Linked DNA regions of Neodiprion lecontei. The protein of the gene in region 1 purifies or fractionates together with the protein of each later gene. This does not show direct contact. Links are inferred from orthologs where the notes say so. Each region holds a gene or a part of one and is shown on either strand. Other genes may lie near its edges.

What was found.
Region 2: the proteins of KRR1 small subunit processome component homolog (region 1) and probable ATP-dependent RNA helicase pitchoune purify together in Homo sapiens (affinity purification with mass spectrometry; 3 studies listed by BioGRID and IntAct, with this or other methods). This does not show direct contact. The link is inferred for Neodiprion lecontei from reciprocal best matches to the Homo sapiens genes KRR1 and DDX18.
Region 3: the proteins of KRR1 small subunit processome component homolog (region 1) and protein KRI1 homolog purify together in Homo sapiens (affinity purification with mass spectrometry; 3 studies listed by BioGRID and IntAct, with this or other methods). This does not show direct contact. The link is inferred for Neodiprion lecontei from reciprocal best matches to the Homo sapiens genes KRR1 and KRI1.

Annotation. Positions count from the first base shown.
Region 1 is NC_060262.1:40,403,557-40,406,600, reverse strand, and holds KRR1 small subunit processome component homolog, read left to right. Parts: upstream 1-1,254; 5' UTR 1,255-1,381; coding exon 1,382-2,413; 3' UTR 2,414-2,499; downstream 2,500-3,044. Other genes in the region: trafficking protein particle complex subunit 12, read right to left, coding at 1-739. UniProt on the Homo sapiens protein: Part of the small subunit (SSU) processome, first precursor of the small eukaryotic ribosomal subunit.
Region 2 is NC_060260.1:4,906,783-4,910,541, forward strand, and holds the start of probable ATP-dependent RNA helicase pitchoune, read left to right. Parts: upstream 1-996; 5' UTR 997-1,147; coding exon 1,148-1,150; intron 1,151-1,490; coding exon 1,491-1,542; intron 1,543-1,686; coding exon 1,687-1,779; intron 1,780-1,860; coding exon 1,861-1,980; intron 1,981-2,053; coding exon 2,054-2,314; intron 2,315-2,384; coding exon 2,385-2,699; intron 2,700-2,882; coding exon 2,883-3,184; intron 3,185-3,275; coding exon 3,276-3,428; intron 3,429-3,475; exon of another isoform or gene 3,476-3,514; coding exon 3,515-3,685; intron 3,686-3,746; exon of another isoform or gene 3,747-3,759. Other genes in the region: uncharacterized protein LOC107226345, read left to right, coding at 1-136, 207-331. UniProt on the Homo sapiens protein: ATP-dependent RNA helicase that plays a role in the regulation of R-loop homeostasis in both endogenous R-loop-prone regions and at sites of DNA damage.
Region 3 is NC_060260.1:30,354,131-30,357,889, reverse strand, and holds the start of protein KRI1 homolog, read left to right. Parts: upstream 1-865; 5' UTR 866-1,120; coding exon 1,121-1,232; intron 1,233-1,330; coding exon 1,331-1,419; intron 1,420-1,518; coding exon 1,519-1,914; intron 1,915-1,994; coding exon 1,995-2,311; intron 2,312-2,397; coding exon 2,398-2,579; intron 2,580-2,820; coding exon 2,821-3,077; intron 3,078-3,145; coding exon 3,146-3,409; intron 3,410-3,526; coding exon 3,527-3,684; intron 3,685-3,759.

The DNA.
Region 1 (3,044 bases):
AATTCCCAAAGGGCTTAGACTCGTTTTCAAGAACTTCGACGTGCTTCAATTTTGCCAAAAGTGCGAGTCTTGTAAACCACAATTGGAGAGAGTGTGGAGTGTGTTTGCTGGGATGATTAATCTTCCCATATCCCTGTCCATAAATTGCTAGCAGTCTGCCAGTAAGATTAATCGCCGCTCGGTAACATCCTGTCTGAATCAAATTCCTCAGACCACGTTCGTCCTGCGTTACATCAGAAGCTGTGAGAACGTTGCGATGAATGTTTTCTTCTTCTCCCAGAAAGTGAATCGCAGCCTCCTTAGTCGTATCGGTCAAATCTCCCTGCAACGTCAGTCCGGGCATCGTCAGATTTTCTCTATCAGGAAAATTACTTCCAGGCGTCGACGTTGCTATCGAGGCTAATACTTTTTTGGTTTGATCCGAGGGGATCCAAGCATCTCTATGAATGTCGCTGGCCGTGACATGGTCGGAGACTTGTTCCGCAGCATCTGACAAACTGTTTTCAAGGAAGCTGTTTGACGGGTCTGTCAAGAAGGAGTCAAATACTGGGCGAGGACTCGCAGATGCCGAAGGTTGTTCCAGCATGTCTTGTTTTTCCGGTGGGACAATTTCATCGAATATCGTGTGAGTCGTATTGCTGAAGTAACGCCCGAGCCCAGTATCACCAGATGGTTTTGAGTCGTCAGACAATCCTGCGATATTGTCGCTCAGTTGAAATAGCGAACTTTTATCGGCCATTGCTTGCCACGCTCAAACACAACGTCAATTCTTCAATAATTACTGACTTACAATATCGTGATCACATATTATTTTACTTTTGGTTAGTAGGCTTAAGCTTGAGCACTAGGTTAGTAGTTGAAAGTTAACCTTCACACGACTAGAATGATCACAATCAGCTGTCACTTGTGACTTTACGAGCATGGCTAAATTACTTCAAGTAGTTTTCTAGAGGGTAGACTCTGCGACTAATTTTCAAATTGGATGCCGCAGGTTCGCGACATCGATTTTTCCTCATCATGTTGAAAGTGAATATATAAATATAGATAACTAAAAATAAAAATATCACAAGTGTCGATACAACGGCCGTTAGGTCAAATCTGAAATTGTAAACGCTCATTAGCATAAATAAAACTTGACTTACCGATATGTCGATATTGTGTCGGATGCAAGATGGCGGACTTGCAGCAGAGCGCTGCTATTCGATATTCTGAAGTTCACGAACCTTCGGTCAAATCGTTGACTGCTCACTCACCGTCACTCACTCTACTCACTGCTGCCACAGAAATTTCATCAACATAACCTGAAAGCGCGTAGCCTAAACCCACGTGCGAACTGGTTCCGAAGACATTGCGATATAAATAAATAAATAAATTTAAGAAAATGAGTGATTCTGAAAAGGAGGATGACCGGCCAGTAAATACAGACCCTGTAGACAATGCGTGGGACCTCAAGGTTCCTGCATTCAAGCCGGAACACAACCCACACCGTTTACTAGAGGAAAGTTCGTTCGCAACGTTGTTTCCAAAGTACAGAGAAAAATATTTGAAACAGTGTTGGCCGCTGGTGCAGAAGTCGTTACAGGAACAGGGTATCAAGGCTGAATTAGATCTGATTGAAGGTAGCATGACGGTGAAGACGACACGAACAACTTGGGATCCCTACATAATTATCAAGGCCCGGGACATGATTAAACTGATGTCTAGGTCTGTGCCATACGAACAGGCAGTCAAAGTTCTACAGGACGACATCGGTGCTGATATTATTAAAATATCGTCCTTGGTCAGGAACAAGGAGAAGTTTGTCAAACGAAGACAGCGGCTAATCGGACCCAACGGCTGCACACTGAAGTCAATCGAGCTGTTAACTAAGTGCTATGTTTTGGTTCAAGGGCAAACCGTAGCTGCTCTTGGGCCCTACAAGGGACTGCAGCAGGTGCGACGAATCTGCGAAGATACAATGAAGAACGTGCATCCGATTTACAATATCAAGGCGTTGATGATAAAGCGAGAACTGGCCAAGGATCCTAAGCTGAAAAACGAAAATTGGGAGAGATTTTTACCAAAGTTTAACAGCAAAAATGTTAGCAAAAGAAAACAGCCAAAGAATAAAAAGGCTAAGAAGGAATACACACCGTTTCCTCCGCCGCAGCAAGAAAGTAAAATCGATAAACAGTTGGCATCTGGAGAATTCTTCCTTAAAGAGGAACAGAAACAGGCTAAGAAACGTAAGGAACAGGAGACCAGGCATGAGGAGGCTGCCAAAAAGAGAGTCGAAAGAAGAGCTCAGGCCTTTGTTGCTCCTGAGGAAAATGTTGCAACGAAAAATGTTAGCAAGAAAGGAGATATCAACATCGAGGAGTTTAAGAGAAAAGTTAAAAAAGGTTTTAAAAAACGTAGCGCTGCTCCTTCCTAAACTGTGTATATACTTTTATCATACTAAACTTACAACTTGTGGTACGTTTATTTTTTATAAGATTAAGCCGGGTTGTATTAAAAAAATTTTGTAAATAAATTAACGTAAAGTTTTTGGAAAAAAATCCTTGTTTTTATTAAAAAAAATTTCTCCTATAATCGTTTAGCATACTTTTTTTTGTTCACTTTGTTTCATCTTAATTTACATTCATTTCATTATTATACAATACAAAGTGTGGAATACATGAAACACTAGCGTATGATTTTTTAGCCGGTAGAACTTTATAATTGAATGATAATCCCGACAATTTGATGAGTACGTAGGTTTAAAAAGTTTTTTTTTTTTTTGTTATACAAAGTTCATTTGAAGTACGCCAAATTTTTTTCATTATTGTCAATCTCTAAGTATCGCCGCTCGTTTTTTTTTGTTTCTTTTTTTATTACTACTTCGACCATTTCTCTGTCATTGTGTCATTTTACTCGTACAGGTGTTATTCTTCATTTATAATCCATCCATATTCGTTATTCACAGAAATCAAGTGGTGGGTCTATTTAAATGGACTGGTTACATACACATTATCATTGACTGTTAACTTCCTATGTAACTGAATAATCAATTAATTTATGTCACA
Region 2 (3,759 bases), on another chromosome or scaffold:
CCAATGAAGCCCACACGGCAGTTGCCTCGTACGCCCATCACAGGATCACCTCAAAGTTTTCGACTCGAACTATCAGCCGCACCTATTTCTTCTCCAAAAGACGAGGTTGAAGAAAAACCAATACTGCCGCCAGAAGGTAAACTATAGTCAACTCCAACGAATTTATTATACTGGAGTTGTATTAAATGAAACTGAATTTATTTCAGATTTTAATGCACCGGTGGTGAATTTGGAAGAACACTATGCCCAGCTGCTTCCATGTAAGCTTTGCCATCGCAAGTTTTATCCGTATAGGCTACAAAAACATGAAGCCAGTTGCAAAAAGTTATGAGCAGATGCTGTGTGAGCCTGATATTGTATTTTTACCTATTAAGTTGCACAAGAAATAAACAAATATATTTTTCATTATATTATAATAGGTGCTATATTACAATTAATAATTGCAGCCTCATATTAGTAGATTCGCTTGTAATGTCTAACTGACTTCTTGTTATTAATAGTAATAATATTGTTATTTTATAAACTTATAGCTTTTTTGTCTATCGGTTCTCCATTTCGATCAGTGTCAGTTTCATAAATCCTCATGTATCACCCTAAGTTTGTTCAGTTAAACTTCAACAATAACTAGATGCTTGCACAATACCAGCAATACCTTTCTTTTAGGTGGTACATGTTGAGTTAGGTATATTATTGGCAATCGAGTTATGAATTTTTATTCAATTTTCGCTATGACAAATACTAGTTTTTCTTCAGTTGAAGACACATTTAAACACAGTCGTCTAAAAAACATATCCTATAAAGTGAATGATAAGTCAATTAATTCGCCTATTTTTATCGGCGGTTGTTAAAAAAAACTCATATGTTCTGCGTTGTACTCTACAGTCAAATTCAATTTCACCGCTCTGAGGCAGCCGCCGCGAAGGGAACTGAGGGAGTTCAGTTCATACGTTACTAGGTGATACTGTATACTTAATGCTTGACTGGCTTGATTTTCCTAACTGTACCATGCAGTACCATGCTCGCCATGTGTTTGTCGATGGAGCGTGGGTTATAAATTGAATATATTTGCTAGACTTGCAGTATATTATACAGCATTATTGGGTTATAACGTTCTTGTTGCATAAATACTATTATAAAGAAGTGCTAAATGGTAAGAACGAACAATATTATTCGGCAATTCAATTATAAATTCAATTCTTTTCGTGACATAATCTAACCTCCAAGGCGTCAAATACTTAGAACTTTCCTTACCATTGTTTGAAAATGTTGAGCCTATCATTGCTTTCATATATAAGTGATAAATACATTTACTAATCAGGTATCTCACTGTTTCAACATCCTGGAACCCCACAATCGAATATTCTCTTCGGCAATATTTGTCCTAACCTATAAAATATCTTAGTTTCATTTCATCGTCAATACATTGGGATAAAAATTAATGCCTTGATATTATAGTGTTTGAATAATTGATAATGAGACTGTTATTTCAGGCACCCAAAAAATCTGTGCGTAAAGTAAAACCTGGAAAACGGCCAAATAATGGTTAGTTGAAAATAAATTTTGACTTTTACATTCAATATAATTAATAGAGTTAGTTAATAACTATTAAAGTATAACATTCATGAATTATTAATAAGTAAGCTTAAGTCATACTACTAAAATTTCGGTTATTTTCCAAATGTTCAGGCTTTGCAGAGAAATCTGATAACAGCAATGAAGACATAGTTGTGAATGGGCACGGAGTTAAACGGCATCTGCCTGATGATATTTCAGTGAAACGTGAGTCAAATCTACAATAGTGATATTTTCAGAATTTACAGTGTTGATGTAGTATATACAATGACTGATACGAATTTTCAGAGAAAAAGAAGAAGCCAGCGAAGTTAGAACACACTGAAAACAATGAAGATGAAAGTGATAATGACAGCGGAGAAGAAGAGTTGGAGGAGGAAGCTACGCCGTGCGATGTGGCAAAAATATGTGAGCCTCAAATTTATAACAGAGTATAGGTATATTTTTCTCATCGTTGAAAGTTCCATTTTATGATTTTCAGTACCTGGATCCGCCGTAGGTTTGGAAATAATGAACAATGCTGCGTTCTCATCCCTAAAAGACAAAGTATGTGAGAATACCCTGAAGGCAATTGAAGATATGGGTTTTGCTAACATGACTGAAATTCAAGCCCGATCAATTCCTGCCCTAATTGAAGGACGAGATCTTGTTGGGGCTGCAAAAACAGGCTCTGGAAAAACACTAGCATTTTTAATACCAGCTGTCGAACTCATCTACAAACTAAAGTTCATGCCACGAAATGGTTAGTCTGCAGAAATATATCCAAATACAAATCTTTCAGTAGATAGAAATTGGGAAATTTTTTATTTTAGGCACCGGCTGCATTATAATATCCCCGACACGTGAGTTGTCTATGCAGACCTTTGGCGTTCTCAAGGAGCTCATGAAGCACCATCATCACACTTATGGCTTGCTGATGGGAGGCGCAAATAGGAAAACTGAGGCACAGAAACTTTCTAAGGGTATAAACATCGTGGTAGCTACACCTGGCCGATTGTTGGATCACCTTCAAAACACTCCTGATTTTTTGTATAAAAATCTTCAGTGCCTAATTATCGATGAGGCTGATCGTATACTGGATATTGGTTTCGAAGAAGAATTGAAACAGATTATCAATATTCTGCCCAGTGAGTAGCTTTTCTTTTTATCAGTATTTGCATTGTATAGAATGCTGGATAAAAATCTAATTAGTTGTACAGTTTACATGCATTGCAACTTGGAGAAATTACTCTCATGTGTATTTCTTTTCTAACATTACTTTCTAGGAATATTCTTCAACGTCTTATTTCATCTGAATTTCTCTGTTACAGAAAGAAGACAGACGATGTTATTCAGCGCGACACAGTCTCAGAAAACGGAAGCTTTGACTACCTTAGCTCTCAAAAAAGAGCCGATATATGTGGGGGTGGATGACGAAAAAGAAAAGGCAACCGTCGAGGGTTTGGAACAAGGTTATGTTGTGTGTCCAAGTGAGAAACGTTTTCTGCTTCTGTTTACCTTCCTTAAGAAGAATCGGAAGAAGAAGGTTATGGTATTCTTCAGCTCCTGCATGTCCGTCAAATATTACCATGAACTATTGAATTATATCGACCTACCGGTGATGAGCATACACGTAAGTACGCTCTGCAATTTTATTTCCTGCACAATATATTCCTTTATTCATCACCCAGCCTCATATAGATTCTTTTATTACTCTCTTTTAGGGAAAGCAAAAGCAAACTAAACGCACCACAACGTTCTTCCAATTTTGTAACGCATCCACTGGTATTCTTCTATGTACCGACGTTGCAGCTCGTGGTCTTGACATTCCTGATGTTGATTGGATCGTGCAATATGATCCGCCGGATGATCCTAAGGTACAATTTGCATTCTCAGATTTACGCAGAAACTATCAGACAATCAGTTACATTTTTTTATGCTTGTATTGTTCTCTTCTCTTCAGGAATATATACACAGAGTTGGAAGAACAGCACGTGGAGAAGGCAGCAGTGGTCACGCCTTGATGGTTTTGCGACCAGAAGAATTAGGATTTCTGCGTTACCTGAAGCAGGCACGAATTCCCGTTAATGAATTCGAGTTCTCGTGGAACAAGATCGCCGATATACAGTTACAAGTGAGTATTACTTATTGATTAACAAATCGAATACTTTATATAGATGTTTATATCTGCTTACCAATGAGCGATGA
Region 3 (3,759 bases), on another chromosome or scaffold:
CGTACATGGAATATTGTACCATATACATATATACATATTGTACAATAGATTGTAAGTAGTTCCAATATTGAGAGTGGATATAAAGAATTTGTATTCCTTCTTTCAATATTGCCTGACCACGATTGTATAATATTTATCACGTTACGTAATAAATGTAAGAAATAAGGAAAAGAAAACGAAATAGAACTGCTGCACAGGACATCAGGGCAGTGAAAAAAAATCGAAGCATCACTTCTTAAAACGTAGAAATAACGAAAATAATAATGATAAATAAAACTGAATGAAAATTATATACATAGTTACCTATAAGAAAAAGGGACGAAAGAGTCTTGTATTGTATTAAATTCGTTATTATTGGATTTCAAGAGTTCACCTTCGCTTGTTATATCTAAATAATTACCAATTATTGTTAAATATTAGTTACTATGAATCACGTATGTACATTATTATACAATATACGGGAAAAAATATCGTAACATGTATTTGTAATCAATCCTTTCGTTAAAAATGATTCACTCAATGCAAATAACTTTTTTTTTAAACTAAAGTAGTTGGTATTTCGAGCAAGACGTATTTATAATTATATGCATACATAAATAGTTTGAAGATAAACCCTAGAAATAGCAAATGAATTCCTGTTAACAGAGATTCTCTGTAGAATAGTAAATAGATAAGACAAACTGTTACTTCTCCGTTGATTCATCCACCACGATTTATCTGTCAGAGATACCTACTCTCATTGATATAGTTTATACGATATCAGTGCCTATTCTCTTTGCTTTCTGCTGCGGAGTTTGTGTTTATTTACGCCCGACGCCCTTTGGAGGATATACATGTAGAAACATCACTGCTTGTTTAGTTGCATGCCAGTGATCACAGACTGTGTCAGTGATATAGGTATATGCTTTGATTGAAGCCATGTGAGGCGAATGTGAAAACCATGGTGGGAGAACCTACGTTCTTCTGTGTTGTCACGTGGTACCTGGAGTACAAACGAGTCGTGTAATTGGTTAAAATTCGTGGTAAAAATCTTGAATGCGGATGCTTGCCGCTTGGCACAGATTATAGAATGAAAGTTTGCTGTACCGTCAACACGTGAGGAGAGCCTGAGTTCGTTTTAATGAATGATTTATTTAATAGCAACCATTCTGATTCGGATTCGGAATTGAAGATAAATTCGAGTTACGCGCAAAACTACAACAATTGGAGACAGAAAGAGGAACTGAACAAATGTAAATATTACCTGCTAAGTTGAAACGCGGTTAACCTCAAACGTCGTTAACCTCAAAATACGATTTCTACATAAATATATGTGTGCTTAATTTTATAGTGAAAACAAAGTATGGTGAACACATCAAAGATCTTCATACCTCAGACGAGGATTCCAGCACCTCGGAGGAGGAGGATGAAGATGGAAAAGTAATAGTTGGCAATTTATTATACAATGTGTTCATTTCAGTATGACTGCTTAGTTTTTTCTTTTCGTTGTATTTTGATTAATAATAATATTTCTTCAAGGAATTGACTGAGGCATTCGAGAAAAACTTTTACAAAACCTTGGCATGCTTAAAAAATAAAGATCCTCGAATTTACGATGAACAAGTTACTTTCTTCGATGACATCGAACAGTTGGAGGACACCTCCAAAGCGACGATTAAAGAGAAAGCTAAAAATAAGCCACTGTTCTTGAGAGACTATGAACGGAAAGTTATGCTCGAACGAGATGGTAAATTTAGCGACAGCGAAGATGAAGATACTCTCCAGCAAGAGAATAATCAACCTTTAGCTCCCACTTACGTGAAAGAGCAGCTCAAGCTGAAGGAAAGTTTTAAAAAGATCTTGGAGGAGGATGAAGATGATGAGACAGCTGATCTTCTCAAGCCAAAAACAAAATCTGACGAAGATGAAAAAAAGGTTTGTTTCTGTCGGGTATAGAATTGTCAATCAACATTGAATGGGTAGTGTCATTGTGTTAAATTTGTTGTCTTATTTAGGAGGAAGAAGCTTACAAAGAATGGCTGAAAGGTCAGCATACAGAAATCGATGGGGTGGATAAGAAAGAATTAAAACCTCTACGAGATTTTTGGACTGATCCAAAACTAGATCAGAATGAGAAATTTCTTAGAGATTATATATTGAATAAGAAATTTTTGGATCAAGACTTTAATGATTTCAACCCGGAATATGATTTGGTGGTTCATGATAGCGATGAGAATTTGAGTGAAGATGAGAAGAATATTGAAATACAGGAAGAATTCGAGCACAAATATAATTTTCGATTCGAAGAGCCTGATCAAGAATTTATAAAGAGGTGAAAATTGCTGACATTCCAAATTGTAGATGTCAGCACAAATTTTGTAACATTGGTAATGACTTTAAATTACATTCTAATTCTAGATATCCTCGCACGCTTGAAAATTCCATGAGACGTAAAGACACACGGCGTGCTGAGAAGAGGGTCGAATTAAAAAAGAGAAAAGAGGAAGAAGCTGTTCGAAAACGTGAAGAACTAAAACAATTGAAAGCTCTCAAAAGAAAGGAGATTGAAGAGAAGATCGAGAAGTTGAAAGAAATTACTGGTAGATGACGCTTTTATAGAGTTGTTATAAAATTTGAACACCAAAACTTGTTTCGAAATAGTAATGCCCCTAAAAATTCATCAGTATAATTTTTACATAATTTTATACTTGGTCGAGAATCTTGGGAGAATTCTAACAAACTTTTGAAAGTGAAACTTTGCAACATACTGGTGTTCAAATTATCTGCATAAATATGTTGCTTTCATGGTTGAAGAACGAACAATAATTTTATTGTTCCCAGGTAACGACGATATACACTTTAATGAAATTGATTTGGATGGAGATTTTGATCCAGCCGAGCATGATCGTAAGATGCAGGCTATGTTCAGTGACGAATTTTATGCTGCGCCCGAAGGCGATCTGAAACCGGAATTTCCAGACATTGATGAAGAGCTAGATATTGAAACAACCTGGGATAAGTATGATCCAAAACAAGAGGAAGTAATACCGGAGACCAAGCGTAATAATGGACCACACTGCGATGACCCAGATTTCAATGTAATCCTCATTGTCCTTTATTTAGTCTTCCTAGATTAGATAGGTGTGAATATAATATGCTATTTCAGATGGATGCAGATTACGATCCAACCAAGACACTGCAGGAAGAATTGATCGATTCTTCTCGAAAAAAGAAGAGAAGAAGACGTAACAAATTGGCTGTGGCAGTTGCTAAGGAGAAGCCCACTTTCGATCCAACTGGAAATCCGTCTTATCAAGCTTATTTAGATCAATATTACGCTTTGGATTATGAAGACATGATCGGTGATCAGCCTTGCAGATTTAAATACAGAAACGTTGTCGCGAATGATTATGGGCTAACTATAGACGAAGTGAGTTGTTTTGAACAATTAAAATTCAGTATTGCTTGAGCTATTTGTTTTAAACTGAGTCAATCCTCAAAACGAGAAAAACCAAGTATCACGTAATAATACAGGACTTTGTTGCAGATCATTATGGCTGATGATAAAGAATTGAACAAATGGTGTTCGCTGAAAAAAGCGCTTCAATACAGACCTGAATATCTCGAGTTGAATGACGTTACATCTTACCAACAAAAAGCTCGTAATGAAGTGTTAAAAAAGAAGATATTCAAAAGCATATATGGGTATGCATTCTTTTTATATATTTATTCATCCCAGGGTAACAGAATTTTAGTTGATTAATAATAATCTTTTTTAAT